Linked DNA regions of Sus scrofa. The protein of the gene in region 1 interacts with the protein of each later gene in a biochemical or structural test. Links are inferred from orthologs where the notes say so. Each region holds a gene or a part of one and is shown on either strand. Other genes may lie near its edges.

Region 1 (4,098 bases):
AAAAATGAAGAAAATCTGAATAAATTAGAGACTTTACTTAATAATGCATCAATATTGGTCCATTAATTGTAACAAATGTGCCATACTAATGAAAGATGTTAATAATAAGGGAAATTGGGTGGGACTCTATGTGAACTCTCTGCATTATCTTAATTTTTATGTAAATCTAAAACTGTTCTAACAAAATTGAGTTTACTTTTAAAAAAATCTAAGATGGCTTCAGGAATTGGCAGGAAGGGGATTTAGTAAAGACTTAAAGAAGTTAAGAAATGAGAAGCTATAAAACTCTGCAATGAGAATTAGAAGTAAATACCCAAGAAATTCAAAGGAAACCTGCAGATACTTAAGTTATGACTATTCATACTAAAATTTTCCTAGGATGGAGATTTTTCATGCAAACTAAATATCTCTGCATCACAACATCAGGCAGGCAAAAACATCCCTAGAGTGCACAATAAGCACTTATCCTATCAATAATGACCAATAGCTATATTTTATGAATGGCACTGCCCTAAAATTGTTATAATACCTGGACAAGGATCAACCTCACAGGTCTCAAGTTACTTAAAGAAACAAATTCAGAAAAAATAAACAAAGAGGAAACTTGGTAAGACAACAAGGAGAAAAAAATTATGTATGAAAGGAGAAAAATGATTTCTCAGGTCTAATTGGAAGCAATTTTGCAACTATTATTAACCTACTTTAATGTCACACAAATTAGTGTAAATAGTTCAAAGTAGTAACAAAAGCCTTGAATTAACATCAGTTATCTTCTTCCCAATCAAAAGAAATAAATGTCTTCTATAGCCTAACCTAAAACACCTAACAGATAACAATGTCTAATGACTTCGTAAGAACTAATCTCTCACTGTCTCAATTTTAAAGACAGCCAGGAAAAGTGAGAGAAAAACAATGAAGGGTGATCACCTCTAAACTGCAGAGTATGAAGTGTGTATAACACAGCATAAAATTGGAATTACCACAAGAAGTAATTTTAGAGACAGCAGCCATCACAAAATAAGGACCTTTATCTAACACAAAGTAAGGACCTTTATCTAACACAAAGTACAATGACGGCAGAAGCATGGTCAGGTAAACAAATGATTTTACTCATCAGATACAGTGGAATATTAACCATAAAAGAAGCATTTCGCCAAAATGGTATCATGTATTTATCTAACTTAGATAACCAGATGAAAAACCCATCTCTTCTCTCTCTCTTACTCCCTGACCCCAAAGGAAATCCTACAAAACAAAGATGTTCGTTATCCTAAAGCCTTCTCTCACAGGAATCCTCAATCTATCATTGGAAAATACTCAAAAAGAAATGGAATAATTAGCATTTCCCCAGTAATTCCTGTTTGCTCCACTGTGAGGAGAATCAGACCCCGCTTCGTGTTAAAACAGAAAAAGGAGAGGTGAGATGTGAAAAATTCCAAGTAAAACGATCATGACATAGCACCTGGCAGAGACTGGAAAAGCATCCACGCGGCCAAAAGGATCGTCAAGGATGAAAGTCAGGAGAAGAAAACGAGGTTTTCCAACAAGCCGCAGCCTAGCCCATCGGGTAAAAATCGCCACTGCCGCCGCCCCTCCCTCACTCCCCCACCACTCCATCCTCAAGTCGCCTCCAAGGCCGACGTGGACCCTCTGGAACCCAGGCCAACCCCCCACCCAGGTGAAAACAATCCAAGAATTTTCTAGGACTCCCCACTTTCCACCTTCCAGAAGATCTGCACTTCTCAGGGCCAAGCCTCTGGGGAAAACAACGCCCAGATCCCCCCTCCCGGCGCGAGGTTCCAAAGAGCCGGGTCCCGCCGGTGGGCCTCGCAGGGCTGACCGACCGGGATCAGAGCGAGGAACAAGGGTGGGGCTCAAGGAAGGGAGCGGGAGCTGGCGAGACGACGGAGACCGGAGGAAGAAAGGGATGGACAGGAGGCTGGGCGGGGTGAGGACTGGGGAGGGCACGTCGACAGGGGAGGGCCGGGCTGCGGGGAGAGGAGCCGGCGGAGTCGGGGCCAGAAGGGGCAAAATCCGCCCGACGGATCGCGGCGAGGAAGCACGGGGGGCGACGAGGGGGCGGCCGACGCGGGGCCGGGGCAGGGGGCGGAGGGCGAACGCGAGGGCCGCAGCAGCCTCCGCGGCCGAAGGGCCGCACTGGGGGCGGTGCGGGGAAGCCGCGGCCAGCTGCCAGGAGTGGGGGAGCCGCGCACTCACCGCTCTGCTCCCCCAGGAACACCAGCTTGAATTTCCTCAGCGGATTCCCGAAGTCTCCGCCCGCGGACATGATGGAGCCGGAGGAGCTGCGCCGCCTCAGCCCAAAGACCTCCCGGACCGACGCGGCTCCAAGCAGTGGACGGAGAGGCTAGAGAATGGGCGGGCGCCCAGCTCTCTCGGCCGCTGCAGGGCCCGGAGCGGAGCAAGACCGGAGGGCAGGGCCCCTCGACACAGACAGGCAGCCGTCGCCGCCGCCTCCCCTCAGAGCCGCCTAGCACCGAGCGAGGCCCGAGGCTGGGAAGGGAACGAAGGCGGTGTCGGAAGCAGCCAGGGGAGTGCTCAGGGGTCCGAAGGCCAGAGCGGCTCCCTTCTCAGCACCCGGCTCGGAGGCTGGGGTGAGGGCGGAGGAGCCGGAGCCGCAGACGCGCCTGGGACCTCTCACACGCAGCGCTTCAGCGCCTCAGCTGCCGCCGCCGCAGCCCAACCTGCTGAGTGCGCGAGCCTGTGGCGCGGCGCGGGGCGAGCCCGGGCACGAGCCTGCCGCCCCGCCAGCCCCAGCGTGCGTGCGTGCGTGCGTGCGCGTGCGCGCCACAGACGGCGTCTTCCTGGTTTAGCCTGCTTTCCCGGCTCCGCGGCAGCGGAGACCGGGGGTGGTTAGGTGTACGCTCGCGTCGGGAGAAGCGGGGAGGTGGGGTGGAGCCTGGAGGAACCCAAAGGGTGGAGTAAGGAGCGCTTTCGTCACTTATACGATGAGCCAATCGGAAGAGGTCAAGGGCGGGCAAGGATGGGAATGAGGTGGCGGCGCGAGAGCGCGCTCGCTGCCCTCGAGCGGTGGAAAGTGTCTCACAGTGGCGGCCATGTGTAGTGTGGCGCGTCCGAGCCTGAGGGGAGGAGAACAGAGAGAAGCGGGGTGGAGGCGGGGCCGGCGTGGAGGTGGAATTGACCCCTACAAGAGCGGATGAAGTCAGAGAGTACTAAGGTGTTTAGAAGGTTCCTAGTTCTGAGCCTTTAGCCCTGCCTCAGATTCCTGCGAGCCCCACTTCACCTATGCCCCCACCTTCTCCAACCTCTTCTTATAATTCCTGCCATGATACCCTCCTAGGTACATTCTCCACTCCTGCTCCCAGGAGTTTCATAACTACCAGAAGCAGGGCCTCCACGTTTTTACAGATGAGGAAACTGAAGCTCGTAGGAAGGAAATGACTTACAAAACCCACAGAACAGTAAAATTGAAGCCAGGTTTTGTCTTTTTCCCCCATTGAACTTCTGCAACCTGCTAGTTGATAAGACCATCCTTGGCCTGATGTGGCTTGGCCTTCTGTTAGCAACCTCTCTTCCTCAGATGGGCCAGCCCAGGTGAGCCCACCTTCTACTGTGATCGAAAAGGATTTAGATATCATGTAAACATAGGGTAAAACTGAGGCTCAGGTAGGAAAACAAGTTTGCAAAAAGGTCACACAACAAATTCGTGGTAGAGCATGCCCCTGATGAAGTGGGCTTTTTTTTTTTTTAACAGCCACACCTGTGGCGTATGGAAGTTCCTGGGCTAGGGGTCGAATTGGAGCTGTAAATTCAGGCCCATGCCACAGCTTCAGCCACACCAGATCCTAGTTGCTTCTGAGATCTACCCTGGAGGTTTCCACTTTGTAGGATCCGTAACCCATTGAGCAAGGCCAGAGATCAAACCCGAATCCTCACAGAGGCAAGGCAGGGTACTTAACCCACTAAGTCACAGCAGGAATTCCTGAAGTAGATATTGTATTTATTTATTGGGGTTTTTTTTGTTTTTTGTTTTTGTTTTTGTTTTTTTTGGCTTTTTAGCGCCATACCCGTGGCATGTGGAGGTTACCAGGCTAAGGATCAAATCAAGAGCTACAGCAG
Region 2 (3,646 bases), on another chromosome or scaffold:
ACATTTGTCTTTTCAATTACAGCAACTGCCTTACTCCGTAGTATTTTTTAAAATATTGTTATGTGACCGATTAAAATGAATCTGGAATCCTGAAATCCACATTTTATTTTACTAAACCTCAATTTTTCTTATGATGTTCCTGCTGTGCTTCTTGACATACAGTGTTAAAGATAATGAGACCCATCTGGATCTCAAGTTCTTTGACTACAAAGTATTCTGTCTTTTTGTTTGTTTGTTTGTTTGTCTTTTTTTGCCTTTTCTAGGGCTGTTCCCGTGGCATATGGAGGTTCCCAGGCTAGGGGTCCGATGGGAGCTGTAGCCACTGGCCTACGCCAGAGCCACAGCAATGCCGGATCCAAGCCACGTCTGCAACCTACACCACAGCTCACAGCAACGCCAGATGCTTAACCCACTGAGCAAGGCCAGGGATTGAACCCCCAACCCCATGGTTCCTCATCAGATTCGTTAACCACTGAGCCATGACGGGAACTCCTAAAGTATTCTGTCTTTAAAATACTACAAGTCTTATGTTTATTTCAAAGTGGATATAATACATTTTGGATAATTCCAGAAAGTCGGTAACTATCTGCTGGTTCTTGAAGAAAGTTATTACTTTCTTAGTGGGTAAATAAATTCAGAAAGAAAAAAATTTCTGAATAAATTATATGAATAATTCTTCCTTCCAAATGTACATGTGTTCAGGTGTTACTTTTGGTGGAAAAAGTCCACTGAGCTTATCTTCCTGCTGCAGCATGAGCATCAGACCTGAATAAAGGTGTTTCTGACAGCTGGCTATATCCGTATCAAACCCTGCACAAATCTTGGGGGTTTTTTGACTCCTACTGGTTAATCATCTGGTTGAGAAATCACTGAAAATACTCAGGTTTCTAATTCAGGCAAATCTGCCATATTCAAAGTACTATCAACTACAACCTATACTCAATTAAAATAAAACCTATAAATATAAAGAAGTACATTTTATAAATATTATTATTCTTTTGCATGCTGCAGGCATAGACTATAACAAATTTGTCACACTCCTCCTAAGAGTACAATGTTACACAGTAGAAAAAGCTAATGTAACACATCTGCAGTGCTGTGAACCTCACCTGAGACTTTAACATTGGATCTTCTGCCACCGTGGATCAGCCGCGCGCAATAACTCTGTCTCTGAGGTTTAAGATACCACCTGTTAAGAATGTCCCCATATGGGAGTTCCCATTGTGGTTCAGCAGTAGGAACCCAACTAGTATCCATGAGAGTGCAGGTTTGATCCTTGGTCCTGCTCAGTGGGTTAAGGCTATGGCATTGCCATGAGCTGCAGTGTAGGTTCCAGATGCAGCTTGGATCTGGCATGGCTGTGGCTGTGGCCAGCAGCTGCCGCTCTGATTCATCCCCTAGCCTGGGAATTTCCATATGCCCCAGGTGCAGCTTTAAAAACATAAAAAGAAAGAAAATGTCCCCATGTGTACTTCCTTGTATAGATGAATTATCAGTTATCGAACCTACTCTGTTTCTAATTTTCTACAGTAATGGATTACTTCCACTCTGCTCGAGGAAGACCATTGTTCTAAATATCTAAAATTCCAGTAAAATTCATTATTTTCAACTTCTTAAGTTCCAAATTTAATTTCACCAAGATTTTCTCCTGACCACTTTTCTGTTGTGGTTCCAGATGTGATGAATATGTCACACAGTTGGATGAGATGCAGAGACAGTTAGCAGCTGCAGAGGATGAGAAGAAGACTCTAAACACTTTGTTACGAATGGCTATCCAGCAAAAACTCGCCCTGACCCAGCGGCTGGAGGACTTAGAGTTTGACCATGAGCAGTCCCGACGCAGCAAAGGCAAACTTGGGAAGAGCAAGATCGGCAGCCCTAAAGTAAGTGGGGAGGCATCAGTCACCGTGCCCACCATAGACACTTACCTCCTGCATAGTCAGGGCCCACAGACACCCAACATTCGGGTCAGCAGTGGCACTCAGAGGAAAAGGTATGCATGCAGCGATCTTCATAGTTTGGTGCAGTGGCCAGATGTTAGTTAACTGCAAAAATTAATGTGCTCGTATTGTGGAGGATGGAGGAAGGGAAAGAAGAGAAAAACTGGGAGTGGGTGTATAAATGGGCCTTGCCAGTGTTGGTTTTTCCAAATTAAAACCTTTTGATAATTGTATTTATTTATTCCTTTCTGTCACCCACACCCCACCTTTTGGTTAACCATAATATAATCTTCGAGTGTCTGTTAACATTTTTGCTGTTCCTTGTATGCATAAGTTTGCTTCTCCCTTACCTCCAACCTAAAACTGGGTAGAAAAAAGGTGAATATTAAGAATGAAGCTATGTTTTACATGGGTGATAATTTTAAAAGCCATTGTACCTCTGGTAATGGTGCTATTTACCAGCTTCTCTCTAATGGGGCAAGGATATGAATGTGTGTTCTTAGGGGAATTTTGTCCATATTCCGAAAACTGATGACTGACTCAAAGGAATGTCTTTATTTAGGGCAAATGAAATTAAATATGTATAGTCTTTTTTTTTTTAAGCAGGTTTTTGTGCTTTTTTTTTTTCATTTGGTATATGAATATTGCTCAAAAAAAAAAATCACTTGTAAGGTTTTTAGTGGCTTGATTTTATAACCTTTTTCCAGAGTCCTGGATATTGAATTACTTACCCTGTATTTTCAGTTGATGGTAAAATTTTTATTGTAGGAAATTTCAGTAAAGAATCAAACAATATAAATATTTTCTATTTGTAGTTCAAACTAACTATAATAAATCTCTCTTCCAGTATCCAGTACGGTTTCCAAATAGGGTTGTATCCTGCTATGGAAACTAAATATTTAATGAAAAATCTTGGTTTACATATTAAAAAAATTAAATGCCAATATAATAATGTTGTCACTGGTGAGGCTTTGAAAGGTAATTAAAGTAAAACTTTTTTGTTTCCTATATGTATTTTCTTGGATCTCCTGCAAGACAATTTTCACCTTCCCTTTGTGATCAGAGCCGTCCCAGGACTTCAGGGGCTTCCTACCTACAGAATTTATTAAGAGTTCCCCCTGATCCCACCTCCACAGAGTCATTTCTTCTGAAGGGCCCCCCTTCCATGAGTGAATTCATCCAAGGGCACCGGCTCAGCAAGGAAAAAAGGTTAACCGTGGCTCCACCAGGTAAACATTTTTTCCTTGGGTGCATGTGATGCAAATGATGAGTTGAATAGACAGCTCTCTCCTTCCTTCCAACCTCTCAGGCCCACCCATCCCCAGAGTCTAACTTTGAGGACAGTAAATTCCTACAGTTAAAGTAAAAATGCCTTTATTCTTCACTTCCTCGTGCCTTCTTTACTCAGCCAGTCATTTCTTAGGAGTCTCCAGGGACTTCCTTTTAACACCCACGGATGGTAAATGAGAGTTGGAAGGAATGGGTTAGATGAAGGGAAACTAGCAACAGGCACAACACAGGGCACACAGTGGGATCCTATTTGCAGTTTGGTAGCTCATAGCAGTTCCTTCTTGGTCAAATTTTGTCTTTTTGTTCTGATCATCTTTAATGTAATTTCAGTAAAGGGAGCCGTCTTTAGAAAAAGCTCTTTGGGCTAATCTCCTTTTGTAGTGACTCAGAATGTCTCCTCAGTTATTGAGATACAA

What was found. The genes of interacting proteins can lie anywhere in the genome.
Region 2: the proteins of RAB6A (region 1) and BICD1 form a complex in vitro, tested with the Homo sapiens proteins (3 studies listed by BioGRID). The link is inferred for Sus scrofa from reciprocal best matches to the Homo sapiens genes RAB6A and BICD1.

The regions. Positions count from the first base shown.
Region 1 is NC_010451.4:8,196,302-8,200,399, forward strand, and holds the start of RAB6A (ras-related protein Rab-6A), read right to left. Parts: upstream 2,912-4,098; 5' UTR 2,288-2,911; coding exon 2,218-2,287; intron 1,922-2,217; exon of another isoform or gene 1,485-1,921; coding exon of another isoform or gene 1,463-1,484; intron 1-1,462. UniProt on the Homo sapiens protein: The small GTPases Rab are key regulators of intracellular membrane trafficking, from the formation of transport vesicles to their fusion with membranes.
Region 2 is NC_010447.5:41,937,230-41,940,875, reverse strand, and holds part of BICD1 (protein bicaudal D homolog 1), read left to right. Parts: intron 1-1,675; coding exon 1,676-1,993; intron 1,994-2,975; coding exon 2,976-3,169; intron 3,170-3,646. UniProt on the Homo sapiens protein: Regulates coat complex coatomer protein I (COPI)-independent Golgi-endoplasmic reticulum transport by recruiting the dynein-dynactin motor complex.